2 linked regions of the Alligator mississippiensis genome follow. The protein of the gene in region 2 interacts with the protein of the main gene of each other region in a biochemical or structural test. Links are inferred from orthologs where the notes say so. Each region holds a gene or a part of one and is shown on either strand. Other genes may lie near its edges. The genes, in order: TRIM24 and PPARG.

What was found.
Region 1: the proteins of PPARG (region 2) and TRIM24 interact in a test that uses a peptide from one of them, tested with the Homo sapiens proteins (2 studies listed by BioGRID). The link is inferred for Alligator mississippiensis from reciprocal best matches to the Homo sapiens genes PPARG and TRIM24.

Annotation. Positions count from the first base shown.
Region 1 is NC_081827.1:109,068,133-109,083,742, forward strand, and holds the start of TRIM24 (transcription intermediary factor 1-alpha), read right to left. Parts: upstream 6,889-15,610; 5' UTR 6,782-6,888; coding exon 6,445-6,781; intron 1-6,444. UniProt on the Homo sapiens protein: Transcriptional coactivator that interacts with numerous nuclear receptors and coactivators and modulates the transcription of target genes.
Region 2 is NC_081835.1:30,988,487-31,003,710, forward strand, and holds the start of PPARG (peroxisome proliferator-activated receptor gamma), read right to left. Parts: upstream 6,948-15,224; 5' UTR 6,945-6,947; coding exon 6,725-6,944; intron 1-6,724. UniProt on the Homo sapiens protein: Nuclear receptor that binds peroxisome proliferators such as hypolipidemic drugs and fatty acids.

The sequences.
Region 1 (15,610 bases), on a different chromosome or scaffold from region 2:
ACTCCCAAGCCACAAAGTTTCCAGACCAATGGAGAGCCCTGTGGGCCAGACAACATGGCCCCATGGGCCAGAAGTTAAGCATCACTGCCCTAAACAATCCTAGTAAGCAGACACTTTTAGACATTAATCATCTAAAATATGACACATTAACCACTTACATTAATGTTGCTCAAAGTTACCAAATGACAACTTCAGCGTAACTCCTATAACAGTGATTCCCAATCAATGCTAGGTACTTTAAATATTTGTAAATGTTAGTCTGAACATTCCTCAACCACTTATACTCTACAAACTATGCTGGACATGCAAGCTAAAAACTTGTTAAATTGTAGTGTAGACAAGTTGACTGAAAAAGACTAGGTCTAGATCTCACTTGCATCTGAAGCAGGCATTAATGAAATGTTATTATATATTATTATATTACTTAAGATAAAATTTTAATATGCATTTCCAATTACATGGCTCTTCCCTACACAGTTCCATTACCTAGACAATTATTTATTTTAAAAATCTACTCAGTATCCAAATTGGCATGAACAGAATGTTAAATAACCAAGAATATTTCAGATACACAAGATGTAAATGGATTTGCAGTTCTTTTGCAAAGTATGCATCTTCTGTCGATTACATGCCTGAGCTTCACATTTAAAGGCCCACAAAAGTAACTCAATGCTCACACGCACCCTCCACCATGAACATGGCCTTATTTAAGTATAGAGGCTATCACTCAACCAGACATTGGGGCACCACCCAGTATGCACATCTGCTCAAACAAAAAGGTGCAATCGTCATCTTACACTTACTGATTCAACCTAATACACTCAGGAAACCAATTTTGAAAAAAAAATAAAATTAAAAGATTTAAGTTGCCCCAGCTACACAGGAGCAATATTGGCAGGTGAGGTATTAGAACAATAGGGCCAACCCTTCTGGCAGGCCTACAACAAAAGCCTGGCATCCTCCCCCAGTGCCACACTGATCATCTGCCCAATCTGCTGTTCTGCTTTCTGCTCCCAGGCAGTGGCTGCCTGTGCTATATGTGGCAACCATGAACATCGGATGGCCACCTCTGTATGGCAGTACCTGGTCGCAGGCCCAGTCTGTTTTAGAAGTGCCAAAGCTACTCTTCAGATGTCAAGAGACCTATTCTTGCAACATTACAATAATGCATGCTACTCAGTATCATATCACATGATAACTGGCTGCCATGCAAAAGCCAGCCTGCTAACAAGCTTCCAGTAATTTTAAAAGAAGAATTCTCTAGTTAAACTGATCTCATCATCCTAGGAGTGACATTTCTATCCCACACTATATATAAATGTTTGCACCCTGGAGCCATTCTTCTGACACCTTAAACTTGAAGACCAGATATCATAGACTCAACTATTGTTTCTGATATGAAGTCCATTGAAAGCTTTTATTCACTGAGTGTTTAAATTAATATATATATATTTTAAATCCTAATATGTTGTTAAGCTCAATGACTCCTTGTTTTACACAGCATGCCACCAGTTAAGTTTCACGCATTAGGCATCTTTGGAGCCCCAGATAAGATTTTTGTTTAAATAAATAAATCAATCCCATATACACTTCTCCACAACATGGACAGAAGGCCCAGTTAAGATTGGTTGGATAACTTAAGTATGTGTTCCCATATCTTAAACTACTCAGGTGTTTTTAAATTTAACCTTAAAACAAGAATTATTTTAGTTTGCACCAAGTTCATTTGTCACTCATGTTGTTCCAAAACCCTTGTACTTGTTTTCATCCTTCAGTTACTGATACATCTCTCCAGAAATTCTTTTTCTTTTTAATTTAAAAATGCTATAGGGGAAAGCTGAAGAACTCCTCCAAGGAGAAAGTTTTACCATATCTTTATCCAGCTGACGATACATGATGTCATGTGTGCATGCACATGCGTGCTTTAATTTTAAGGTCACAATTAGCTTAAAGCAACTGGAGCATATTATATGCCCATCAGGTTCACAGTTGCCTTGCATCATTTGGGAAGTACAAAGCAATTCAAGCATACTGGTGAATCTGGGCCTTCAGTTCATTAGTGCAGCAGTAAGCAACCTTTTAGGCTGCAGGCAACTGAGTCAGAGGGAGGCAGGTGGCTCGGCAAATGCTAGGATCCAGCCATGGCTGCTACTGCCACTGCTGCTGAACAGCATAAGGAGGGTACCAGATGCTGGCTTTTCCCTGCAGCAGCATGGAGAAAACAACTGCTGCTGAAGCCCCCTGCTGCTAAGTGCCACCAGAGCTCCATATCTACAGGCTGGGGTATAGATTGCCAGCCCCTGTACTAGTGTACACCATGGAGCTTTCAGGAAAAGTGACAATGAAGCCACCCCTATGGCAGATTACCAACAATTAAACTCTTGAGAGACATCTAGCTCTCCCCTACCACCACTCATTTCAGCCAAAAGAAATGGAGCACATAAACAGCTGAGAGAAAACTGAACCTACCATCCTCTCATGTCACAATAGAGCCGCTCATGAACGACCTGAGATAGTGTTACAAATACCAGGAAGAGACAGCATATTCTTCATACATACAGTACCATCCCCTCTATCATTAAGAGAAAAAAGAGGGGAGTACCTAATTTCCATTTCTGTATTATTATTTTATGTACCTTTTATCATTTGTCCCTGGCATGCATGTAACTACTTCTCTGAACAATACTAAGCCTTCCTCCTTCATTCATATTAGTCTTTCCACTTTCTTTGTCAGGAACAGACCCCTTTCTTTTTGTCATTCTTTGACGCTTGGAAATTGAGCCATTTGCTTATACTGCTCATGAGAATCATCAAATAATGTTTATAATGGGGCCTGAACCTGCTGTCCTGTTTATAAGGCTACTTGTACTTCTGCTCCCTTTCTGGTCTCCAAGTGAATCCCCTTCACGTGTCAGGCTCTGTGCCTTTACTTTCCCCAGGTTTGAACTGACCAGTTCCCCACTCCTGGATTGGGCTAAGCCACAATTTGCTGTGTATCAATCAAGCTAATGCAGTAGGTCTGACTAGGTCTAGTTCTTCTCTTTGGGAACCTGTTCCTCATAAATTATACTGTGATCAAACAATTTTAAAATTAAGTTAATATATTGTTAAGCCATCAGGAGAATGCAGCTAGAGAAGAAAGGTTTTAAGACCATCTACATCAGGGGTGGGCAACTTTTTGGGGGTGGCAGGCTGGCCAACACCCTCCTCACCCACCCCACAACAGCCCAGAGCCCACTCAACCTTGGGCTCCTCCCTGCCACCAGCACCCAGCAGCAGCTGAACGCACAGCCCCAGTTCATCCCACACCCTCTCTAGACTCACCCCAGCAGGAGTGGACAAGCTCTGGACCAGCCGGGACCTATGTGCACAGCCCTGACCCCAGTCTGCTCTGCACCTGCTCCGAACTGCCTGCGCCCAATGAGCAGTGGTGGCAACGGCAGTGGCCAGGCAGAAGCTACTGTTGGGTGCAGGGCAAAAACAGCTGCTGCCCCCTCACTACTGCCAGTCCCTTCTTGCTGCAGCCACCTGGAGCCTGTGCACAGGCTGTTCTGCAGCTCCTGTCCACTGCAGTCCCCACTACCACAGTGCCACCTCCCAGCCGAGGAGCAGTGGCAGTGAAAAGGAGCCACAAGGCATTCCAGGTGCAAGCTCCAGGGAGGCAGCAGCAAAAAGGGCCCAGCAGTGGTTAGGGGGAGGCAGCTGCTTTTCTGCCCAGCTGCTGCAACTGCCGCTCATCATGGGCAAGCAGTCTGGAGCAGGCCAGGACTCCAGCTGAGCCAAGTCCAGAGTGGGTGCAAGGCGGGCCAAGGCTGGGGCTGTGTGTGCAGGTTCTTGCCAGTCTCCATGGGGCTGGGGCCAAAGGTGGCAGCAGTCGGAAGGAGCCACTGCCCCTTGGGCTGCCTAGAAGTGGAGTCCAGCCGCAGAGCTACCCCAGTCCCACTGCATACCTGGGACCAGCGGGACATGCCACAGGCCAGACAGCACATGGGCCAGGTGGGACTGAGGGACATGCTGTGGGTTGGACAAAGTTCTTCTGCAAGCTGTGTTCCTTTTTAAATTACTATAATGTTTTGGTGTTCCTAGGTTATGAACTTTTCCCTAGACAAAATGCATTTTACAGGTTAAGATGACAGCAAATTCTTCAAGTTCAGCAGTTCTGATATTGCCTTTCATGTCCCTCTCTCCAGGTCCCTTCATCCCAATATCCAGGTCAATATACAGCATTCATAAACTGCTAGAGAGTAGCTCCAGTTCCATCACACCTACCTATTAAAGATATCTATTTCATTCATTTCCATCACCACGTTTCTGGTTTTTTTTCAGAATGAACTTTTGTATTACAGAATAGAATAAACAGGCATTTACATCTACTAAGAAAGAGATTAAGGGAAAATTGGTTCAAGTAATTTTTATCATCCAATACACTACTGACAGTACTAAAGTTCTACTACAACATGCCTATTGCCTAGAAATGTATTACAGCTATGTCAAACACAAACTAGATCTCCATGATGAAAAGCACATTTGCTTAAGGACGACTTCAAGAGGTTCTTTATTTAATTCAAAATCAAAAAGGTTTAGCTAAATGCCTCATCTAAATTTAACCAGACTGATAGCATGTGGACACTACAAGTATGGACAGATGTAAAACTGAGAACACTCTAATTACCCTGTAAAACGCAAGAGTCTAGACATGCATGCCACATTAGACCAGTTAAAATTTCCTGGAACATTTCAAAAGCACACTGGGAAAATTATGTACTAATCTGATTCTCCTTGAACCAGTTTAGTGTTATGTGTGGACATAGAGCATTCTGTGCCTAGTGTCTGGTCAGTCCTCTGGACATCCCAAACTGCACCACTCCTCACACCCCACAAACCATACTAGGGCTCCTCTGGGATGCAACTATGACTCTACTGCCTACAGAAACAACAGTTCACAGGGCAGGGAAGCAAAAAGCCTCTGTATCAGTTTCAGTTCCATGCTACGGACCCTGGGCAGGGATCTCTGCCTTATCTGGGATGGTGCGGGGTGGAGGGGTAGCCAGGTTCTGGAGGGAGAAAGTAGAGGGCTTTATGGTTTGTGGCAAGCAAGGGGTGGTTGGGCTGTAACAGTAAAACACCTGTTAATTGCTGGGGGGAGGTGGTGGGGAAAGACCTCTATTGCCCAATGGGTATTTAACAGAACAGAATGGCTACCAATTCCACACTCAATGAGAAGTGAATTAGCCCATCAACTGTTAACTGTTCCACCGCCTCTGCCTGCACTCATGTACCCAGCCCTGCTTTCCAGGTTCCCCCTGCACACACAGCTCTATGCAACTGCTGGCAATGCAAGGTACTTGCAGCTTTCTAAGGAAAGTCCTTTTAATCCTAGTGTGAGGGGAGACTATGGGAAGTCTCAAAGCAACCAACTCTTTGGAATGACACGGAGGCCCTCCACCCTTTATCTTCCCCGACACAGACACACGGACATATGCCTGGTCACCCCCTGTCTGGGTACTACCACAGAGTCCCATACTGTGCAAGCAAGCCCAGGCAGGCTGGGCAGGTGAAGCAGGCAGGGGTTGCCTGAAGGCTGGTGCCCTTGCAGACTGCCCAACACAGAAACATCACTGAACTTGGAACTTCTAAGCCACTTGCTCCCCCCCACCAACTAACAGGTGCCTCGTGCTGCCCTCCATCTTTTTTTCCTCCCTCGCAGAAGCCCTTTCCTTCCTCATCTATGCCAAAAAGTGAAACCAATCTGTGAAGTTTGACAAATAAAAAAAGAAACAAAACACAAAACCCGGAGGGGCAATAAAAGAGCCATTACAGCACAGTTTGATTCAACTCTCACAGCTTACCTTTGCTTTCTGCCCTGCAACTACAGGTCAGCACGAAGTCCGCTGCATGTTTCACCCACGCCCCTATTGGGGAGGGCATGATCTGCCCAGCCCTGTAACACCACGCCCTGCTCCTTACCAGGAGCTCCTGCTGCAACCACCCTGGGCCATCTTCACACCCTGAACCAAAAGGGGGGTTGGGAGGACGACAACTCTCCGAACATATATATGCGTCTCGGCCTCTTGAAGGCTCAGATCAAGTGTTGTATGTGCATTGCATCCCTCAGCCCACTGCCTGCTTTGTCACACACCTGCATCCAGGGTAAGGACAAACCTGGTGGAAGCAGAGCAGGAGCTGTGCCTTTGAAGCGTAGGGTTAAAACAAGCTTGCCCTGTTAAGACCCACAGGCTGCCGGCAGAGGCAGGAGAACCTCGGGGCAGCAGGGGGAGGGGCGGGAGGCTCAGAGGCCGGCCGCCCCTGTGGGGGGAGGGGAAGGGGGAGGCTGCCCGCCTGCAACCACGAGACGCCCCTGGGGGGAGGGTGTCCCGGTGCCCTCCACGCCTGTCGCGACAGCACGTGGCGCGGCCCCGACGGCGACGCGCGAGCGGCACTTACCGGTCGTGCAGTGCAGTGGCGAGGCGGCGGGCGGCGGGTCGCGGGGGGCGGCGGGCGCGGGGGGCGGCAGCATGAGGTAGCGCTCGGGCAGCGGCAAGCAGCGCAGGCAGAGCGAGTGCAGGCAAGGCAGCAGCTTGGGCCGCCGGCTCTGGATGGGCTGCCCGCACACGCCGCAAGTGTCCAACAGGTTGAGCGGCGCCGCCTCGCCGCTGCGCTCCGCCGGGCCCTGCCGGCTCTCGGCCTCGTTCTCCCCGCTCAGCGCCGCCCGCTCCCCCCCCGCCGCCGCCGCCGCCCAGCTCGGGCCCCCCGCCGCCGCCGCCACCGCTGCTGCCTCCATTGTCCGGCACCAGCCGCCGCGTCGCACGAGCCGCCGCTGCCCCGCCCCCGCCGCGCGCCGCCGCCACCGCAGGGTTTGTTGTCCTAGCCCGGGAGGCGGCTGCACCCGCTCAACATGGCCAACGGCCGCCCGCGCCCCGCCCCTCCGCCCGCTTCAGCCAACCCGCCGCCGCGCCCCGCCCCCTCCGCCCGCTTCAGCCAACCCGCCGCCGCGCCCCGCCCCCTCTGCCGCCCCGCCCCCCACGCCAGGGTCTCGGCCCCGCCGGCTCGCCTCTCCCCGGCCCAGCCCCCCTCTGCCGGAGTCAGCCCCGCCCTCGCTGCTCCGCCCCGCCGCTCGCTCGCTCGCCATTCCGGCGTGGCCACGCCCCCTTCGCTCAGTAGCCACGCCCCTTTTGGCCTAAGGCAACACGGTCCCGCGGCTCCTTCTTGCGCGCCGCTTCTCTCAGCTGGCGTGTGATACCCCCAGCTCAGGAGCTAGGAGGGGGCGGCGGGATCAGTGTGTGCCAGACTGATCACAACTCCATGAAGTTGCTTGCCCATCAACTCCGCAGGCATATATAGACATATAAACACACACACATATGTGCATACATAAATACACATATATACACACATGTACACACACATACATACACACACACACACACACATCCTATCTTGTAAGCGAGGCTCTGACACCCTGCTACCCGCTTTTCGTGTCCTTCTCGAGCTGCCCTCAACACATACCCGAGGTCAACCTGGAACCCCCAGTACCCCTGTCAGCCCAGACACATGGCTAGCCCCAGTGCAGAAGCTGTAAACGACACAGGACTAGTAGTGTCTTCACAACAGTGGCTTACACAGGCCTCTCCTTGGTTTGGATTCCTCAGGTCCAGGATTGATACTACTGGAGCATAATCTATAACTGATACTAATAGTGTCACACAATACAAAGGCAAATTTGTATTTTTTTAATACAATTTAGGAGGTCAGATCTGATTCCCTGTCTGGCTTTAACAACACAAGGACCAGCACTCTCCTCCTCCCCTTCTCTTCCTCCTCCTCCTCCTCATCTCTCCTGATTAATATTAATGAGAACAATGTTACCCAGCCCATCTGCCTTCTTTTCTCCAGTCCTGCCACCTCCTCCCAGCTTTGCCCAGAGGCAACAACAGAAGGGTGGAGCCTTTAGCTTCAGTTATTAATATGCATATGGCTAGCCAGGCTCACCCTCTCCTCCCCACCCCCATCCCCTGTTAGCTTCCCTTTATAGGAAGGGTGGGATTATACTCAGACTATCCAGGACAGGAAGAAAAAGCTTTAAGGAGGCACTGGGAATAGCCCTTACAAAATAACTACCCGCTGAGCATAGAACTGGAATCCAGTGAGGAGAAAAACCCGTTAAGGAGGAATTGCAACAATGAGAGAGAGAAGCAACCAATTCATGCTGTGTAGTCTCTTAAAAAAATGTTTGCAATTTATTTTCACATGGACCTAGTGCAGAAGAGGTAGAACATACCAAGACTACTGTGACTTCCTCAAATGTGTATATATCTTACTTGGCCTACAAAGGGGATATTCATCCTGCTTCCTCAAATACCAACATTATGAAAACAAAACCTTCACAGAAATTAATAAAAACATCTTTACATAAAGCAAGTACCAATATATGAAACAAGAATATTATTCCATAGGACAATAAACTAAAAAACCCCACTATCTTACCAAAGTGTTTCACAAGCAATTGGTGCATTAAGAGAAATAACCAACGTTCAGGTTGCAGACTGGGGCAGCAACCATAGGAAACAGGTCAGATCAATTGTTGTGTCCACTAAATATGCAGCACAATTGCACTTTTATGAGTTGGGATACTGAGTAAGAAAATGTTACTCTTCTGTTACTGAACTTCATTTATTTATTGACTGATTGACTGATTTATTTGGTTTAATTAGATTTATAAGCTACCCTTCCCCAAAAAAGGGGAGGTGGGAAGGGGAAAAGTTCCAAAGCTGATTTTTCTGTCAGTAGATATCTTCATGGCTCTTCTGTTCTTTTGCTTCATAATTTCTTCAAACGGTTGCTTCCTTATTTGTAAGAAGTAGCAGGACCAAAAGAAGGCAATCTGGGATCCTAAGAAAACCATGACAAGGGTTCTCCATATTACTATCTCCATGCTGCAGTCCCAATCCTCTTCAGATAGCAGTGGCAGAGGTCACCCATGTCAGAGGTGGCTGCTGGACTTGTAAGGATTTTCTTTTTACTCCCTTTTGGGCAAGCTGAGATTCCCTTGTTACAGGAGCATCAAACTTACCCGGCCCCACAGACCAGATGAGTTTGGTGGGACTAGTCTGCAGACTGGATCAGACCCACAGACCAGCCCCACATTCTGATCTTGTTCCAACCTCTGTGGGGCTGTGCCATAGGTGACTGGTAGGGGGTGCACAGGGGTGCCCATGCCCACCCCCAGTGGGGCCGGTGCCCCCCCTGACAGCCAACACTGATGCTATTCGTAGAGCTGGTGCTCCCCGACAGGGCCACTGCCATCAATGGCTTCTGCGGGTGCCCCCCCAGACTCAGAAGGCACCAGTCACTCATGGGCTGTGCTGCACCATTCTGGAGCCATTATCATGTGTAACATGGCTCCAGAGCTATACAAGGCTGCTCTGGGGTTGTGCTGCCCTTGGTGGCCACTCTATGGGTATCATCCAGGGCCATCCAGTGTACCCTGCACACTGCTTGTGAGTCACTCCAAGACTGGGGCAAAACTGGGTTCCAAATGATGCACCTCTATGAGCTGGATATGGTCTGCAGGCTGGATCTCAGCGTGAGGATGCTGAGGGTTTTTGGCTGATGTGATTGCAGAGCCACAGGGCCTTTATCTTTGAAAACTCACTGTGATCAGGGGAGGCCCTGGTCTATTGGAAAAGGGCAAATCTAGTGCCCATCTTTAAGAAGGGGAAGAAGGAGGATCCAGGGAACTACAGACCAGACTGCCTCACCTCAGTCCCCAGAAAAATCATGGAGTAGGTCCTCAAGGAATCCATTTCTAAGCACTTGAAGAAGAAAAAAGTAATCAGGAACAGTCAGTATGGATTAACCAAGGGCAAGTCATGCCTGACCAACCTCATTGCCTTCTTTGATGAGATGACTGGCTTTGTGGTTGCAGGGAAAGCAGTCAACGTGATATACTTTGACTTTAACAAGGCTTTTGATACCATCTCCCACAGCATTCTTGCATGCAAGCTGAGGAAGTATGGGTGGATGAATGGCCTGCAAGGTGGAGAGAAAGCTGGCTGGATCACCAGGCTCAATAGGTAGTGATCAATGGCTCAACGTCTAGTTGGCAGCCATTATCAAGTGGATTGCCCTAGGGATTGGTCCTGGGGCTGGTTTTACTCATTATCTTCATTAACTGTCTGGAAGATGGGATGGATTGCACCTCAGCAAGTTTGCGGATGACACCAAGCTGGGAGGAGCAGTAGATCTGCTGGGGAGTAGGGCTAGGATTCAGAGAGACACACTGGAGGCTTGAGCCAAAAGAAATCTTGTGAGGTTCAACAAGGACAAGTGCAAAGTCCTGCACTTAGGACAGAACAATCCCAGGCCACAAAGTCTAATGCGAGAGGCAAGAATTTTTGTGGGTGATATTTTTTATTGCACCAACTGTGTGGTGGAATAGACATAGGCAAGCTTTTGGGTATCAGAGTACCCTTCCTCAGGCCCCTGGGATAGAAGCAGACACAGCAGAGTTAAGTAGCTGATGTAACAGAGCTTGTGTAAAACTCCGTATGTAAACAACAACAAGATATAAGAGAAATCAGGTTGCCAACAAGCAGGAGAGAAGCAGTAAAAACCTGATAAAGGAGAAACAAGAGTGTTCAAAAGAGTCCAAGGAAAACTACCCAACACTCTTACAAGATGGGCTTGGGAACAGAAATTAATTAGCTTTTGGAAACTAAGTATCAGGGACCTATCATAGACAATGGTTTAATGGCCCATTATAATGTACCTGATGCTCACTAACTTCTGTACTTCTTAAATGATAACTACCCTTCTGAAAACCGTTGTTCCTCCTTTATCAGGTTTTTACTGTGCTGTGGTATCGGAAAGCTTCCCTATGTCTATTCCAACCATGAGTTGGTCCAATAAAAGGTATTATGCACAAGAATTTTTGCGCCTCACATATTTCCTGGACATCACAGCAACAACATCGCCTCAACACTACCAACACTAAGTCTAATGGCATGAATGACAAAATGTAAATAGAATCTAGACCACCAAATATTAATGCAATGTCATGCTTAGTGCTTTCTCACCTCAGGAATCGTAATGCGTTTACTTGAGTGCCTGGATCAGTCAGACCTGCCATTCACTTTTCCTCCTGCTACACACAGGTCACATCTACACAAGACACTGACTGCTCAGTAGTTCATTACTACTGCACAGTAGCATCGCATGGCACAAAGCATGGCATGACATGACACTACTACGCAGTACTAATGAGCTCCTGCACAATCAGCATTACCTAAAACCCGTTTGGCAATGCTACTGTGCAGTAACTCCAGTTACTGCACTGTCATTTAGTACTTGTGTATGCAAGTTTTAAATGACTGCAATTACAACTGTACAATCAGTGTCTTGTGTAGATGCAGCCACAGGTTGCAGGCAGAAGTGCAGTTCCCTGCTGTAACATTTTGTAGGATGTGCTCTGAGTTATAATGATTCCTGGGACCAAACAGAAGTTCACTGTTGGTTCCAGGGGGGAAGAGACTCTGGCTGCTGGCTGGAAGACTGCAGCTGGTTTCCTCTAGCAATGGCCCCTCCTCTCTCCCAGCCTATTCCTGTTTCAGAATGGGAGGGGGGGAAAGGGAGCAGAGAGAGCTCATTCCAGGGGTTCCCCAGCTAGCGCTGGAAAGTGGAGTGGGTGAATTGGAGCCCCTGTCACCTCAGGGGGGCTCCAATACACCTGCCCCATCCTCCAGTGGGGACTGAAAAAACCCCAAACCGAACTCTCTCTGCTTCCTTTCTCCCCCTCCCATTCTGAAAACAGTGAGAGGCTGGGAGACTGAACAGACACAAGTTACAAAAGATGCTCTGTTTTTCAACGTCTTCATCTGACCCCTCATGCAATGAGGGTTCAGATTTTTCACCCAGTCAGCCATTTTTGAAACTGTCTGCAGCTGTGCATTTATGTTTGGTCATGGCTATAGACCACTTTCTGTGGACAGATCAAGTGAAAATTGTCATCTGTGCTCACAGGGATAGTGTTGTCAGGGCCACTAGAACAGCAGGTTTGGAGCTGAAACCTAATTGAAATATATGGTACAGTTTCCTTAGAGCCAATATTTTAGAATGCCTGCAGACTCAGGCAAATATGACTGTATCACTCAAATATGCTATTTTCACATATTCAATTTTTTCTCCAGAACCATGAGAGAGAAACTTAGGATATCCCTGTTCAACACAATATAGTGCCTTGTTGAGATACACAAGCAAGCTGTAAATGAGATAACTTGGATACCATGCATTATCAGCATAGTCATATTAGCCTGGCACTCAGTCCAAACTAATTAGCTCTGCTGAGCAGTGGCGTATATTAGCTCAGGTGGAGCAACATGTTCCTGGGACTTTGCTATTTCTAGTATCTGATATCACTAGGCGTCTCTATATGGCACTACAGTGTGCTGTGTTGACATGCTTTCATTTTCATTCAGTGAAAGATCAGATCAGATCATTGCAGGGGGTCCAAGAGGTAGAGCCTCTTCTTGGCCCTATAGTACTCATGCCTAAATGTGGCACTGACTGAGACATGTTTTTGTTCTGTTTTATTCTATGATATAAGTACTAAAATACAGCTGCCCACTTCTCCATCACCGAGTATTCTTTTAGGCCTGAGGATTTGTAAAGAGAATAACACAGTTCTAAAACGTTTCTTGAAATGTAGCAGACAGTAAGTCCATTATTGATGGGGTTTTCAGATGCCTTCTTCGGAGCCTATCTACAGTGGACAGTTTAACAGGTTGTACCTGTATGGCTATACCACTACAGTTAAATTGATAGAAACCCCTTTGCAGAAACTTTTATTTTAAAATAAAAGTTCCTCTTTGGTTTACCTTAAAGCATAGGTGGGGAAAATACAGCCCGTGGGCCAGATCCAGCCCAACAACTGATTGTATCCAGCCCATGGGCAGGCAGCTACCAACTCATGGGATCCAGCCCATGAGGGACCAGCAGCTCCAGCTGCTGAGTCATGCCAGGGACATCCCAGCCACTTCTACAGCTTACACCAATTCCTGCCATGTGTGCCAGAAGCAGTGCCAGGTGGGCACCGGCATCAGCTATGGACGTGGCTGGTAGGTTCCGGGTGGGGATCAGGGCATCCATCCGGGTCCACAGAAGACACTGCTGCATCAGCGCATCAGCTGTAGTCCCAGGCAGTTGCCCTGATACCTACTGGGAACTTGCTTGCAGCGTCCACAGCTGGTGCTGGTGCCGGTGCCACTCAGTGCTACTTCTGGCATGCAGACCAGGAGTTGGTGTAAGCTGCGAAAGGGGCTGGGATGTTGTGGATTGGGGCATGCTGTAGCTGTGGGGACAGTTCAGGCTGGGAGTGGGGGGAGGAGAGAAAGAGAGAGAGAGAGATTGGGGCATGCTCTGACTGTGGGGACTGTTCGGGCTGGGGCCCAGAGTAGAGTCGTGACCTTGCTCCCTGTGTGCAGGGTGGTGAGAGTATGGGGCTGGGGCCCTGCAATCCCAGCCTGGCCCCACCTGCCCACCCATCCCGCTCTTGGATGCCACTCCCCCAGATCCCAGCCCCAGCCCCATCCTGGCTAAGCATGAAGCAAAATCATGATCCGTTGCAGGCAAGGGCATGCGGGGAGCGGATTGTGGCTCTGCCCTGGGTCTTGGCCCCACACCATCACTGCTCCACGATCCCAGGGTCTCCATGGAGACTGGATGGGACCTGCCCAAACAGGGTGCTGGGTCAAGCAGCCAGGATGGGGCCACTTAGGGTGTTTTGGTGAGCTGCTGCACAGGGGTTGATGCTGACCCAGCCTGTGACACTTCACCAAAACTCCCTATATGGCCTGTGGCCCCAAATAATTGGCTACCTCAGGCTTAGAGCTTTTCCAAAGGGCATAAATTGACCTGGGAAGTTACACTGGCATAACTGAATTTACACTCTACCAGCATCACTTTTCTTTGTAGGCAAGTCATTAGAGAAACCACTTCCTCATTTTAGGAATTCTGCTAAAATCACCGCATCTTAATCTTCTTTCTTCGGAAAAGATTCATATAGAATAGAACAGAACAGAACCATATAATATAGTGTAGATATTAACAATATAACTGACAAGAACTGAAGTCCACTGAGTCTCTTGACCCTACTCAGTTTAATTTTAGCCCTGGCTATGACATGAATACTCTTTGTTTTATGTATCAGTGATCTCCTTTGATTTCCTTATGATGAAAAAAGATTGGGTACATGCTTATTTTTTCTTTCTTTTTTTTTCTTTTGATCCATCTGATGCCTTTGATATTATTGACTACAAAGAATCATTGACACCTCCAGGCCCTAGTAGAGGGAAATGGAACTGCTTCTGCGTGGCACCATTCTTTAATCTCTTAGAAGACTCAGAAGTTAGGACTGAAAGATGGGTCATGTGTCCTAAGGCCATTCTCATGGAGCATGTCACAAGGTTCTAGTTTGTCAATCTTTCATTGTATCGACATGTATAGGATACTATAAAACAAGGATTAGAATGGAAGGCAGTAGAGCATAGCTCCTTTTTTGGTGAAGGAGAATTTCCCTTTCACTCAGTAACTTGGAGCAGCGATACACCCCCTTCTCATTGGCTGGCATGGTAAATTTTTTCTCTGATCCTATTTCAGTGCACTTAACTAGTATTGTTAATATGCAAATGACAAGGCAGTTCTTTGTCTCTCCTAAGTCAGAACTGGATTTGTCAGTTTTTCTAATATCTAGCTGAGAATGAGACAAACTAATAGAGATGGCTAAAGATGATGGCCCCAAGAGAGGACACAGAAAATATGGAGTTTATACCAACTGGCAGCAAGAAACAAGAAGTCATGATATTAGATCCCTCAATTCCAGAAACTGTTTTGCCATTTGTTACTCCTGTTCACTATTTATGTATATTATTTAATTATTAGCTGCTTCTGGATTTCCAGATGACAGTGAATACTAGGAGCAGCTTTCTTCTATCTGCACCTGGCCTTTTATTTTGGATTAAGGCATCATCATGGTAATCCATGTCTTCTCCTGTCTTCAGGTTGGATTACTGCAATGTACTCTACATGGGGGCACAATTCAAAATTTTCAGCTACTGTGGAATATGTCTACTTTTCCAGTAGTGATTATCACTGAAAGTACTCATTGACAGTACATGACTAAAAGCTGCCAAACCTCCAGAATTTGTTTGGAGGTTCCGTCTTTCTGCTTACCTCATTTGTTTCCTCCTCCCTTGAATTTCTACATTTTTGGCAGTCACCCAGAGGACTTTGTTTTATAAAACAAACACACACTCAAACACTTTTCCTCTCAGCTACCACTAGTGTACATTCTATATCTCTGCCAAATATGAGGCAGATACATGACTGTGAGATGCCTCTTTCTTACCCTGGACAGTCTAAGGGCTGTTCTAAGCCATGCAGCTAACCACTGGACACATCTACATGTGCAAATAATGCAGTGTGGAGTAATTTACTCTAAAGTAAACCCACCCCAGGCAGGTGTCTACACATGCGGATATTTGAGAGGAAATTTGCTGCTCCTTGCAGCAGTCTGCTCCTACCCCAACTGGCCCTGCACTGGCCACCACCACCAGGA
Region 2 (15,224 bases):
TCAGCCCCAGGCTCTGGGTGGTGGCGTCAGGTGGTGGAGGGGCTGTCAGGGTCCAGAGGTCTGGCAGGGGCCAGAGGTCTCCATTAAAAGACAGTACTATCCCCAACAGTACTATCTTACAGAAGAATTAATCTACTGCACCCTAATACCAGTGTATGCAGGGCTGGTACAAACATTAGGTGAACTAGGTAGTCGCCTAGGGCACCAAAGTTTGGGGAGGGGGTGTCAAAAGTATATGCAGAACAAAATAACAGGAACATCATTGTAAATAACAGCCCTGGCACCACCTTGGTCTAAGAACTTTGGTTCGGTAAGGGGAGAAAGACCTCTGAAAAGATCTCAGAGGAAAGCTCACTAGAATCGCGACTCCTACCTTTTCAACTCTCAAGTGGACTTATGACAAGAGCATACCACTGGCAGTGTCATCCTAAAAAATGAACCCCTACTCCTATATCATCTTACAGCTCATTAAACTAATTTCTTACACCATTTTTCTCCCTTCTAACCACTCCTTTTAAAATCTAAAGCATCTTAGATTTCATCAGATGCATTTAAGATTTCATCAAGAGTAAGATGACCAAAATACACCAACTCCGGGTACAGATATGAATTGTGCCTGTAATTCAGGAAACAGGCTTCAAGGTAGGAATTTCTTGGTTTGATTTTGTAGATCTCAATGTAGTTCTTGACGTAGTTATCGTAGGTACACCTGAGTGGTCATGTTTAATATTCTCAATTTTATAATGTCTAGAAATGGTCAGAGTATGATTGCTGAATCATTACATTTAATTCTTGTAAGAATGCATGTGATTTTTTAAAGTAAGTTGAACTAGGGATAAGGATTTATGTACAAATTATGTTTGGATACTTATGTGAGAGATACGTAGGCATTTAGAATATGTGTGTTAAGGCAGAATGAGTGCTAATTAATTGCTAGCAAGCTCAAGAGATATTTTTTAATTAGTTCATTATATAATGCCTGTATCATTGTTGTGTAAGGAAACAGTTGTATGACTGTGTGTACAGAACATGTAAGGTTGGTTGACCCAGAAATCATAGGATATGTGAGATAAATAAACATAACTACTCAATGGATAATGACAATTTACTTTATAGAAGACCATGCTAAGGAAACAGGAAAACATCTGCTTGACCACGCAGTCTTGACCAACATTAGATAACCAGTTGCCATGTTTACACCCTTAGTCGTACATCCTAACAAATACCTTCCTGATTGCAGGGGCAGTTTGCCCATTAAGGCACTTTAGGCAGTGCCTAGCCATATTTCTTTCATGATAATTTAATCAATTGTCCACATTATTAATGTCATCACAGCCAGAATTTTCTTTGAAATTGTTCTTAGATTCATGAATGACACGTGCCCCTGGCGGCGGCAGGAGCATGGCGGAGGGAGCACTGACTGCCTGTAGACACCACCAGCGGTGTCAGCAGTGGGGGGAGGGGGGTCACTGGCCACAGGCACCGCTGACAATGTCGGCAGCGCCTTTTTGTAGGGGGTGCACCGCTACGCTCACGGCATTGCCCCTATGCATTGCTCCTGCTTAGATTGATTGTTCTCTATATTGATAATTTATTTGAAACAGTTTAAAACCGTGTCAGGGGAATGGTACCATGGCAGATAGAAAAAACCCGTCTGGAGCTTAGTATCATAAACGAAAAGCTGAACAGGAAAAAGAATAAGCAAAGCAAAAGGGTTCCATCCTGAAATACCTTCCATTTCAACCACATCAAGATGGAAGCAGTTCACAACATCAAGGTGAAGGAAGCTCACATCAAGACAAAGGCAGCTCACAGCATCAAACTGACACTGAAATCGAGAAAATTTATTCACCTACAAACACACATGCTGAAGTTGAGGTAGATAAAGATAATAAGGGAGCAGAAGGTACATATATGAAAGATGAAGAAGGTGCAAACAAGTTACAGTACGGTGACCCTGCTACATGGCCTAGATGTGATGACCCTGTGCGACAAATAGTGGTGGAACATGGACCACCTGAACAAGTTCAGGAATTTCACTTCCCTAAATATGGAAATAAAAGAAAATTCTCTGTGCATCATTGCAAGAGATTACTTACCAATGGGGAAGAAATGTATTGACAGTGGCTACAATATTCAGTGTCAAAAGACTCAAGTGTTTTGCTTCTGCTGCAAACTGTTTAGCAGTAAAGCAACTGGTGCATCATCACTTACTGAAAACAGTTCGAAGGACTAGAAAAACATATCTGCAATTGTCTCTTCTTATGAAAAAAAGTTGTGAACATTTGGAAAATTTCCCAAACTGGAAAGAACTTGAACTGTGATTGAAAAACCAGAGAACTATTGATGAAGAAAATTTACATGGAATCAAGTGAGAAGAAAAATACTGGCAGTAAATATTGGAGTGACTGATTGCTTTAGTGAGAGTTCCTGGTGGGCAAAACTGGGCATTCTGCAGGACAAATTAAAAATTATATAGTGCTGGTAATGGAAACTTCTTAAAATTTATTGAATACCTGGCTGTGTTTGATCCAGTCATGAAGGAGCATCTGCATAAAATAAGTGACCATGAAACACATGTTCATTAACTTGGAAGAAGGTGTTGCAGGGCACTAAGGTGCCTGCTCCTTTAAGGGCAGAAACTGCCTAGAGAGTGCACCCTAGCAGTCAGGCAGGAACCCCCACAGGTGCAGGATATTGTGGCAGCAGACCTAAGGAGGGAATGATCCTGTACCTGCAGCCAGTCAGCTGATCAGAAGAGGCAGGGCCCCAGGGCTGGGACTAGAGGGTCAGTTCCCTGCCAGCAGCCAAAGGGGAAGGAGCCTCCCGGGAGGAACTGCCCAGGGATGCTGCAGCTGCCAGACATGCTGCACTTAGGGCTAATGGGGCTCCAGGAACTCACCAGGTACCCTTGCCTACAAGGCACTTAGTGCCAGGGAGGAAGTTTGACTCTTTTAAAAGGGCAGAGCACACCCTGAACTTTTTGTGTTATGTTATAGCCCAGGGGCTCATATTTTTGGTTGATGTTTCTATAAACACCGGTGGATCAGGCTGAGGCTATTGGGGAAGGAGGAGCCTCACTGGGGGCCCACTACAGTGTGGGGACCCCAGTGACAGGGAGGCACAGAGATGTAGGGGGTGAGCAGACCCCAGCGGCAGGGGCATAGAGATGAAGGGGGTGAATAGACCCCAGCGCCAGGGGGTGTGCAGACAGGGCTGTGGAGAGCCCAGCACCAGGGGGCATGGAGAGAGACAAGTGGTGAATACCATCTGCAAGGCTTGGGGCATGGTAAAAGGGAGGTTTTGGAGCCATGCATCTAGCCCATAAGGCTGAAGGTGCCCCAAGGCAACCATTTTTGTGCAAGACTCAAAAAGGGTCCAAGAACCCATAGGGTTCAGCGGGGTCCATCAGGACCGTGCCCAATGTAAACTCGAGGGCAGCCTCCCTATTCAAGATAATTACCAACAAGATGTGGCAGGTGAGAAAGAGGGTGTCCAATGGGTAGGACTGGCAAGGTCAAGGAGCCCTAGGGGTATCACGGCCGTCCCTGGGGACCCTGTACCATGACAGAAGGCCACAGAATGAACTGATTCAACTCCTAGCAAATGCTGTTAAAGAGAAAATCGTAGAAGCTGCCCATTCTGCAAAATACTTTTTAATAATTCAGGACTGTACACAAGATGTGAGTCATATTGAGCAGATGACAATGATCATTCATTTTGTAGATGTGGCAAAATCTACAGATGTGGATAATGCTTACATCTCAACATGTACTGAAGTTTATTTCTGAATATAAACTGATAGTTTTCCCAACATCTTCATTGCTCTCTGCATTCTTTTGACTCCTAGTTTCTGTTTGCTAGTGAGGAGCGTAGGTTCTCAAAGTTAAAATTGATAAAGACATACCTTCGTTCTTCTATGCTGCAAGAGAGACTTGTTGGACTGGCCACCGTGTTGATAGAACATGAAATAGCTGGAAAACTTTGTCTTAAAGAACTTGTTTCTGAATTTACAAAACTGAAAGCATGAACAGCAAAGTTCTCATTTCTTACACAAATGTTCGTGAAGATTTTCTTTTAATTGTACACATTATAATAGATTCTATTAGATTTTTTGCAGTATAATTGCTAGGGTTAATGAAAAGTGTGAAATAATCAATACTGTTTTTGTTTTTATTGTTTTACTGTTCATTTTGAATATCAAATAAGTACATGTAAAAGTTCATTCTAGACTTCTTATTTTCCTCTATATTGGAAGTGGTGGGGGCACCAAGGTAAACAGTTTGCCTAAGGTGCCAGTTACCCTTGGACCGGCCCTAAGTGTGAGTGTGGATGGTGTCACTTTACTGTGGAGCTAATTTGTCAACTCCACAGTAAAGCACACATGTAGATGCACCCAGTGGCAGCTTACTGTTACCATCTTTCTCTTATGAAAGTTGTTCACTGAAGCATCCCAGTAAACACAAACAAATATGGTAAATCTTCAACGATCTACAGTGTTGACCATAAAAGAAAGCATTGATCTTTCTACCCATGATCACTAATCATACGAATAGGACAGGTGCTCTCCAAACCAGCAAAGTTAAGGACAGAATTTAGCAGTTGACAGACAATAAATTATAGCAAAAAATCAAAAATATGCATTTAATAATTAATTATGAACATGGATATTTAACAGGAGGACAATGGTTTTTAATCAGTCTTTAAATACCTTTTTATAACACTTGCAGTTCACCTTCTTTGCAACAACTGGATGTCAAGATAAAAATCGTTCTGATATTTTAGAATGTTAGAAAAGACCAAATCCCAAAGTCTTCACAGTCATGTTAATGGAAAGTTGCCTCATTGAGGGCATCAAGATTTTATATTCTATTTGTTTCTATGCTGGGTTATTAGAGCCTCATGGGTATTTCCTACCAAAGAAATGGTTATATATAAAAATGTTTTTTCACCTATTGGGTTAAATAGTGGTTCAGTGGAACTGCACAGCTTCTCTTTGTATCTTCCCTATAATAAATGGCTAAAGAACTGAATCCCAAATAGAGGCTTAACAATGCAGCTACTTGCCCATGGCAGCTGTGACGTAAGAGAGCAGCAGCAACTTCCAGATGCCTCTTGCCACTGGTGTGATCACGACGCTGCAGAAGCCCCGGTTCCCCTGCCCTAGCTATGTTTCTGCCCACAAACAAAAATAATATCAGGTCAAAGAATCTTCTAGCTGATCTTGCAACAGAAGGTCAATAATCTGATCTTCAGCAGGAGTAGGGTGACCAAGCCTGACTGGGAAAGGTTCAATTGAGGTGTTACTGACAACTCAGAAGCTAGGGGCTTCTTTGCTATCCTCTAGCAATACCAAAGGTAAACTGTACAATTCTAAGGGCTTCCCTACATTAGAAAAATCAATATTGTCATATTAATACAAACTTCCCTAATACAGACAAGATTTAGGCCACGATTTCATTAAACAGCTTAGGATGCAAAAGAGATTCTCACTTTTAGGTAACATGCTATGGAAATGCTAGCCCTCTTATCAGATGAAAGCAGGCCTGTGCGAAGTGGCTAGTATTCGCTTCAGATTTGGCTGATTCAGGGGACAGTGATTCAATTTGGTGATTCAAATCACTGTCCTGATTTGATTCAGCCAAATCTGATTCAGAGATTTGGCTGCTGCTGAATCTCCAAATCAGCCAGGCCCATCCCCCCCAGCTGGGCAATCGCTGCCCTGCCCACCCCAGCTCCTGGCACTTGTTAAAAAAAAAAGCCCCGACTCAGTGGGTGTTGCCGGGCAGGTGGTGATCCCTGCTGCCCCCCACTGCCCCATGCTGCATGGCGGGCTCTGCCATGAGCCCCCCAACCCCCCCTGTCTGAGCCCCAGCCCTTCCCATGGCTGCCCTGTCCACCGTGATGGCCCTTTAAGAACTCCCCCCCAAACCCCCCCCCGACACACCATTCCTGCTGGTGGGAGCGATCCACATGAGACCCTAGAAGCCCCAAGGCTGCTGCAGGAGCTGGTGAGTCTTGGGGTTTTTCTTGTTTTTTTTTTTCTTAAACGGCCAGCGCTGACCCAGGCAGGGCAGCCGTGGGGAGCCTGGGGGAGTGAGGGGGGGGGGGTCGGGGGGCTCATGCAGAGACCTCCATGCAGAGTGGGGCAGTGGGGGGCAGCCAGGATTGATTCCCCGCTCAGCAGCACCCAATGAGCACTGGGGCTTTTTAAAAAAATGCCAGGAGCTGGGGTAGATGGGGCACCCGTGGGAGGGCTGGGGGAGCAGGCAGGGGATACGGGCTGGCAGGGGTCCCCCATGGTCCCCTCCCCCATCACCCTCCCACTTACCAGAATGGAGTCTGGGTCCAGCTCCCTGCTACAGCCACCAGGGACTGTCCGAAGAATCAAAGCTCTCCGAATCTTTTCCGAAGATTCAGAGAGCTTTGAATCAATTCAGACCTTTTAATTGCTCCCCTGATTTGATTTGTATTCAGAGATTCGGCCACCAAATCGGGCCAAATCTCCTCCAAATTTAATCACTACCCGAAGCTTTGCACAGCCCTAGATGAAAGATATTTGATTTGGTTATTTTTTAAATAAAGCTTCAAGAACATTTTTGTCTAAAGATGTGACCCTTATTCCAAAGGGTCTGAAACAAAGCTCTTTTGTTGAGGGCATGCTTCTTAAAGCACTATGCAATTCAAATAGGTATATTCTGAGATGTAAAAAGAAATTACTTACTTTGACACTCCTGAAGCTTGATGTCATATTTGTAATCAAGGACTGTCTGGTCAGTTCTTGCAAGAGGAATATCTTCATAATGTGGTGAAGAAATGCTAGAAAAATCAACGGTTGTAAATGGCTTTATATCGAAGGAATGGGAGTGATCATCCATTGCAGAGAGATCCACTGAGTTAATTCCAAAATTAATCGGCCAAAATGGCATTTCTGTGTCAACCATTGTAATTCCTACCAAAAAAAAAGGAGAAAAACAGACAGACATTTAAAGAGTTGGCTTTTTCTTTGTGCAATGGGGCTTGAAAGCTTCATATGACAAAGTGATTTTGGGAATAAATGACAAAAATATACACAGGAAGCATGATATACTGAGAATTTAAACTATCATATTAACTTGCACACCTTTCCCCAGAACTGGAATACATTGTTGTAAGCTGGGAAGCTAATTTTTTTCTGCCCAAAAAAGAAGCAGGAAGATGCTGTAAAGTGGCTTCTGCTTCTTTTCCTTCTTTTCCCTCCAGCAGCCCCATTTAGGGAGGGGCGGAGTCCAGCAGGGGCAGATCCAGAAGGGGGTGGAGTGGTGCAATCACAACCCATTTTCATTCCTGCTCAACCCAAATTTAAAGACAAATGTACAGGACAGCAGCAGCATTTCTATTCAGGACTGGCTGAGGGAGTCAATTGATTTCATGTCTCATCATAATCTAACTGATTCCTGCTAACTGCTCTCACTTCACAGGTGTTAACACCCCTGTCTCTTTTGTTAATGGTCTTAATTAGGCCTGTGTGAATAGGCAGCTATATGATTCAGCTTCGGATCCGGCTGCTTCAGATGCCAGGGATCCAATCCAGAGCTCCGGATTGGGTTCCCGCTTCGATTCGGCAGAAATGGCTCTGAAGCTTCAGAGCTGCTTTGGAGATCCGGCCATAGGGTGTAATGGGGAATCAATGAAATATCTATAACTTTGTTGTTTTTGTCTGATCTGGATGAAACTTGCAGAGATGGTAGCCTATGCTGAGAGCATGAAGCCTACCAAGTTTCAATAAGATAGGTGTAGGGGTTTGGGGAAAACTGCACCCCAAATTCTTGAAAGTAAAACTCATGTCACTTGTACGTGTTACACCACAGGGGGGTAAAAACTGCAGGGGTGGTGTCCCCTGCTGAGGCCATGAAGCCTGCCAAGTTTCAAGGAGATAGGTGCATGGGCTTGGGGGGAAGTGCACCTCAAGCTGCTGACAGGCAAAACTCATGACAGATGAACCTGTGTGTGTTAAGGTGCAGCGGGCTGAGAACTGCAGGGATGGTGGCCCTTGCTGAAGCCACAAATCCTGCCAGCTGTCAAGGAGATAGGTGCAGGGACTTCTGGGTTCTAAAGCCCTGCGCCTTTAGCTGCTGATGGGCAAAGCTCGTGACAGATGTGGCAGGATCTGGGCACGGTTGCCCATGAACAACTGCCCTGTCCTGTCTACCAACCTGTGTTCCAAGCAAGAGGGTGTTCAGTATTGCTGGTGATGTAGTGACACACCATCGCACCTCCTTGGATCCTGGCTTAGTGGAGCAGCTGGTGTTCCTCAAGGTGAACCTCCCGCTGCTGGGGTTTCCCAAGCTCTACCTGCAGATGGAGTGAGTGCCACCCTCTTCACTCTGTCCACATCCTTTTCCTTTTTTCATTTTTTAAAAAACATTTAATGCCCCGCTCTCAGAGCTGGAAGCAGCACTCACTGCATCACCAGTGAGTAGGGGAAGAACATGTTCCTGCTGAGCTCCCATGCCAGGACAAACGTGGAAGTATGGGCTGGTGCTTTGGGGAAGGAGGAGGCCCCAGGTCCTGGGCATGACCAGTAAAGCTGCACTCTGCCAGGGTTGGGAGGCATGGTGGGACTGTTGGTGGTGCGGCAGCCTCAGGAAATGACAGGACCAAGGATCTCCCTGGTGAAAGATGGGTAGGAGGCACCATAACCTCCAGCCACCACACACACGCACACAGTCCTGGCTGGTGAAAGCCCAGACCCATCATTTCTTTGACAGGCCTGAGACTTGCTGGTTGCAGTGGAGTTCTGAGGCTCCAGGTGAGTTTAGCTTAGCTGCCTGGGATACCAGCTTTCAGGTATCCTTCATTAGGCTGAGGAAGCACCTGCAGTTGGTGTGTGTGCTGTTCCTGGATGGAAGGAATAGCAAAGAAGCAAGAGGCTGGCATGCAATGCAAGCAAGAAAGCCAGTCAGTGAAAATGGTAATGGAGGCATCAGGGGGTGAGGGATTGCTTGGGATGTTGGGGGAAGAGGGACGAACCACTTTTCACAGATGAGCCTATGAACTGCACTTCATCAATCTCCTAGGTACAGAAACTCATGGACTCAATATAGACAGTGGAATTCTGCCACACTACAACCTGCCAGACATCTGACTCCCCAGGTACCTCTCCACTTCTACCTGCTATATCCTCTGCCCCCATTCCCCACCCCGCAAGGTTTCAACCCGAAACCTTGCTAAGATATATTTCTCTAATTATTCAGTTGGTCTACTAAAAGATACCAGATTGACCCAAAGAACCTTGTCTGCCAGTGCCATGTCTTTAGACCAACACCCCTAGCATCTGTCCCCGGTCAGCTGCGCGGAAGGAGGCAGGGCCCTGGGCACATCTAAGCCCCAGGGCTGGGGCTGGCAGGGAGCATTCTCTGGCAGATGCTGGAGAAGAAGCTGCTGCAGAAGAGGAAAAAAATGCTCTGTGACAGTTTGGCTGCCTGAGATGCTGCTGGTGCTACTGTATCTGCTTACTAAGTTATTATTATGTGGTGTTATTTAAAGTGGTGGACTGGAATGAGGCTGTAGGGAAGGAGGAGTCTTAATTGGGGCACTCTACCACGTCATGTAGAGGCCCTAGCACCAGTCAGGGCACGCCTTAACACACAGCAGCTTGAGGTGCAGTTTCCCAGAAACGCCTGCACCTATCTCCTTGAAACCTGGCAGGCTTCATGGACTCAGAAGGAGCTACCTTGCCTTCTATTTTCACCGTACTGTGCCTTAACTCACATACGTGACACAAGTTTTGCTTGTTAGCAGCTTGAGGTGCAGTTTCCCAGAAACCCATGCACCTATCTCCTTGAAGCTTGGCAGGCTTTGTGGCCTCTACAGGGGCTAGCATTCCTGCTGTTTTAATTTGAATCAGGCAAGAAATGACAGTTATAGGCAGTTTCGTTATCCCCCATTATAGTCTATGGGCAAGACATCGAAAAAGCATCAAAATAGCAAAAGTTTCAATGAAACAGAACGGAGCAGTGCTTCAAAACGAGACATCGATACAAAACACTGTCCTGTCAAAATGGTGAAACATAAGTTGAAATGAAACAGCACTGTTTCGCACAGCCCTGGTCACCCTATTCATAGATGGTTATTCTTTTTTTGGACAGTGGTTCTAGATATGGATGTATCACAGCAGAAATTGCGGACTTTTTACAAGCAAGTACTCACATGATTCTAGGATCTACTTCTCATTTCTAAACTTCAGGTGAGAGGGAAGATCTAACTGATTAGGAAAGAAGAGCCCACTAAATTGAAATTGTTCTAGGATGAAGTACTAGGCAGCTCCTTAGCAAGCCCTTCATCTCCCTGTTCCCACAAATTCTCAACAGTTGGACCCCAACCTACTCTTAGCAGAAGCAAGATCTGATTAATGGTAATTCCTGGCTAACTTAAACAAGCCAAAATGACCTTGTGAATTTATATTATTGGTTGTCAAACTTTCAGACTTGTTTTAGATTTCATTAAAAATATATTATTTCCACAAATTCCAAATATCCCTGTATATCCATAGTAGAATTGTCTCTCTTTTTAATTAATCAGATTTCCAAATAAAAGCATTAAAAAGTATAAATGAAAAAATTATCAGTAGCTTGTTTAACTAGTTGAACCTTCTCCTTAGGAGTCCATTCTGAAACATCATAGCAATCATTTGCTTAAATACATCCTTGTTTAGTTCAGTGAAGTATTTGACACTGTAAGCAGTGCTGTTAATGAGACTTAACCCCATGATTATGAATGTCAGAAATTTCCAGCACTGGAAATCTGTTTAGGTGAGAGAACAGTATAGGCGTTCAGCGCACAGCTAGTCTCTCTTCCCTGCTCCATGTGCCGTCCCCAGACCAGCATGACCCTGGTCTGGAGAAACCATGGGCAGCACTGTCTGCTCTATTCCTCCCATTCCCAGATGGGGAAGGGGTGGGGTGGGGTGGGGTGGGGAGAAACAGAGTAGCAGGGAAAGACATTTTCTGTCATTCTACTCCTCTCACATAGACTGAACTGGGAAGGGAGTGGAGCAGCAAGGCAATGCCCTTTTCCCATTCCCCAGACTGGGGTGGCTGCAGTCTGAAGAAGGAATGAAGACAGTGGGACAATGTGCCCTGCCCATTCCCAAACCCTGGTATCCCAGTGTGGCATCAGCATCAAGATTAGGTTGGCATTGGGACTGGTGCCCTGGTCTGCAAATGGGCTGTCAGGTGAGTGGGTAAAGTGCAAGGTTCCCAGTCTGGGAAACTGAGGTTCCCACCAGGAACCTTACAACCCCAGCAGCCAGCAGACTTTTTCACTTTGTCCTACAGCACCTTGGGGGCCACGAGGCAAGGAACTTTTAAATGCCATGTCAGGGAAGCTCTGGAGCTCCCCATGACCTGTGTGCCTGTTAGCCCTGCATATATACAAATGCTGCACAGGGGGGAATTTTCTCCATGTGGCACTTGCACAGCCACATGCTTGCTGTCCCATATCAGACTGGGAGGGGAGTGGAGCAGCAGAGCAATGCCCCCCATGTGTTCTCAACACTGAAGTCCCTGGTCTCAGGATGGCTCAGAGGGGTAGCAACAGCTTACCTCCTCTATGATCAGAAGTGAGTTGTGCATAAGTGTCTCCCAAGCTTGAAGAGTGGGGCCTCCCCAGAGTGGAGGCTCGTGCTTCACAGAGGAGTCTAGCAGAAGCATACAGGCCTTCAGTCTTGTGAGAGAAACTTGCACATGGAAAATCTTTCAGGTCTTAACTAAGATCCCTCTCCTACAGAGGTCATGTTTCCTTCTGGAGAAACTGAATGAACACTTGTATGCTCCTAGTTTCTACCAAAAGAGTAGTGAATTCTTCAGTAAAAAGGTGTCACTTGTATGTGGCCCATGTCTACAGTTACAGCACATGCATAAAGTTAAATATAAATTTAAGGTGTTTGTTTAACAGTGATTGATCATGTGTTTAATGTTAAGGATACCCTTTGCAGAATTCAGGTATATGAAAGTAGAACTGCCATTAAACTCAACCACAGTGATGCACTGAGGTTAGTCTTCAAAGGAAGCATCAAAATAAGAACTCCAAAATATCTATACATTATTGATAATCCATGCATTATATTCACATCATTTTAAGGGGTCAACGAGTTATACTTTCTAACTAATATGCTTCAGTTTGCAAACTGCTATGAGGTAATCAAATTAGCTCAAAGGCTCATTAAGCTATATTTTATGCTATAGCACAGTACCTAGGTGTGATGACTAGGGAATCTATCTATGCATAATTCATGAAATTACTGAATCATTGAATGTATGTTGAATGCACCATTTATTGTCAGAGCTGTGTTAGGTCAAGAACAGGGACACTGGAGGGTTGTTAAACTGATGGCTTTCATTCTGGTGAGGGCACCTCAGAACAATGGGATGGTCAAAGCTTTTAAAACCAGTTTTATCCAACTTCTTGGAAGGGGGCTGGGTTTTGAAAGAGTGGAAAGTCCCCAAACAAGAGAATAAGAAGGAGGACAGGTGCTTCCTGAGTCCTAAAAATGACAAACCTGAAAGACTTAGGAGGAAACTCAGATGAAAAGAGATAAGGGAAGTTTAGCAGTTTCAAAGCTCATGGGTCCTTTAAATCACAGGACCAGCTAAGGAAGCAGGTAACTGACTGCCTGATTCAGAAAAGACTGCATGTGGTGGTATGTAGAAAGGAGGTGGAGCAGGCCTTGGACTCTAGCAAGCAAAGTGGTGAAGAAACTGCAGCAGGGAAATGCATACTTGTGTTCTTTTGTTTTTTTCTAGATCTGTTTCTTGTGCTATTTAAAGAGAGACTGGCTATAGAACCTCTTGCACTATCTGTGTGCTTGCACTGTCACGTGTTCCTGTGAAGCCCCAATATAGCAGCCTGAGGAACATTTAACTATAGGACCATTAGCAGGGATGTGATTATAAGCATCTCCTTAATTTAGGACAAGAAGAAAAAGATCCAGTTTTATAATAAGACCTGGATCAAATAAGATCACATCTACTAAAACAGACTGTCTTCTGTGTTAGATAGAAATTAATCAAAACTGTCATCATAAGCAGCTCTAGCATTATGGCATGAAATAGGCTTTCCTTTAAAAAAACCCAAATGTGTGATGTGTACATATACACTGAACCTGGAGAAACTGCATTTTTGCTTTAGTTGATTGTTGTATACTATTTCTTACACATAAAAAAATGAGTATGAATTACAGGCATTCTTATTCATGACCATCAATGCCAATCTACTACTATGTTGTAGACAAACACATGATTATCCAATGACTGGCTTTAATGCAATCTTCTCCAAGGGGTAAGGCTGACTTCTCCTACCTCTCCAAGGAGGGGTCCAAACAAGGGTACTTTTAGTTTATTAGGATTTCCTTGGCCATGGAAAACTCCCTTTGGCTTCAGAAGGAGTTACATACATGTAGCAGCAGTAGGGTCACACTTCCATAACCCTGGAACACCAACATTTAGAACAAAAAATGAGAAATGTTTCTGTCAAAAAAACGGAAATATTACTAACTGTTGCAGAGCACTTAGGTGCCCTGCTCCTTTAAAGAGTAGAAACTGCTAGGGAAAGAGCGCTAGCAGTGAGTGGGGAGCCCCAGCTGCTGGTTACCAGGGCAACCAGAGTACGCTAGTGGCCCACACCTGCCAGTGGTCAGCTGACTGGAAGGGGCAGGGCCTGGCTCACACACAAACCCCAGGGTTGAGGTCAGGACGGCAGTTCCCTGCCAGCAGTCAAGGGGGAAGGAGCTCTCCCAGAGGAGCCAAAGCGGAGAGGCCTGACTGCAGGTACAGCCTCTGATACTGGTGAGGGACAGAGCACCCCTGGTGTGGCTTGAAAGATGTTATAGCCAGGCAGCTTGAATTTATGTTATAGCCCAGGGGCTTGTGTTTTGTTTGCTGTTTAAGACTGGTGGCTTGGGTGAAGCTATTAGGGGAGGGAGGAGGCCTCATGGGGACCCATGGAAGTGTGGGGACCCCAGCACCAGAGAGGGCGCAGCATTAGGGGTTCAGTGAAGGCGCGGAGCGAGACAGGGCCGCGGAGAGCCCGGGCGCCAGTGAAGGCGCGGAGCGAGACAGGGCTGCGGAGGCCCAGGGAGGACAAGGGGGCCAAATTACAACAGGGCCCAGACCAAACAATGTCGGTACCATCTGTGAGGCTTGGGGTGGGGTAAAGGGTTGTTTGGAGCCACGCATAGCCCATAAGGCTAGGGTGCCCTGAAACACCCACTGTAAATGGGATCCACAAGGGGTCCGGGAGCCCATGGGGTTAGAGAGAGTACAGCAAACCACGTCCACGAGGACGTAAAGGCAGTCTCCCTACTATATAGCTACCATCAAAGATGTGGCGGGCAAGAATCGAGGGTGCCCATTGGGCCAACTTGGCATGGTGAGGGGGCCTTGGGAAGATCACGGCCATCCTGTAGGACCCCATCCCATGACAACTGGTGCATTGGACAGGAAGCCAGCCATGCACGGGGAAGGAACCCATGTCCCTGAGAAGGGGAATGAACCTTAGGGCTAGAACAGATATAGTGAAGTGCAAGGCAGTGAGACCAGGGCTCGGGAAGACGAATCAAGATTAGAGACTAGACTGCCATTAGAGACTATAGAGGGGAAGACGTTAGGTTTGGCCTAGGAATAAAGTAGAACCATGGCAGAAATAGTGAGTCTGGAAGGCAGGCAGAAAGAGGCCTTTACCTGGCAGTTGTGGGCAGACGATGTTGAGGAAAAAGCTGCCCGTCTAGAGTTTGAGTTGGAAACGGTGAAGTCACAAAAGGAGCAAGCTGAGGTGAAAGTGGCCACTTTAGAGCTGCAAGCACAACCCGGGAAGAAAGAAGGCAGGTCTAAGGAGATCAAGCACCTGATTGCAGTGGAGGTAGAGAAAACTCGAGCGCTGGAACGGCTCATGGCAGATGAGGCCAAGAAGAGCAGACAGAGGGAGTAGAAGTTGCAGGAGATGCAGAAGGAGATGGCTGAATGGAGGAGTAAGTCTCCTGAACCTGGTATAGCCCAGATAGTAGAACAAAAGGAGGTACTACAGAAGCTAGAAATATTAAAGAGCCTCATAGGAGCCCTCCAGAAAGAAGGCCTGCATGAGGACCTGGACAGCTGGCAAGAGTGATGCTTCCAGGCCGAACACCTGGTTGAAGAGCTGTGAGAAAAGCTAATGGAGAGCCATAACCAGCCAGAAGAGACGGGGAA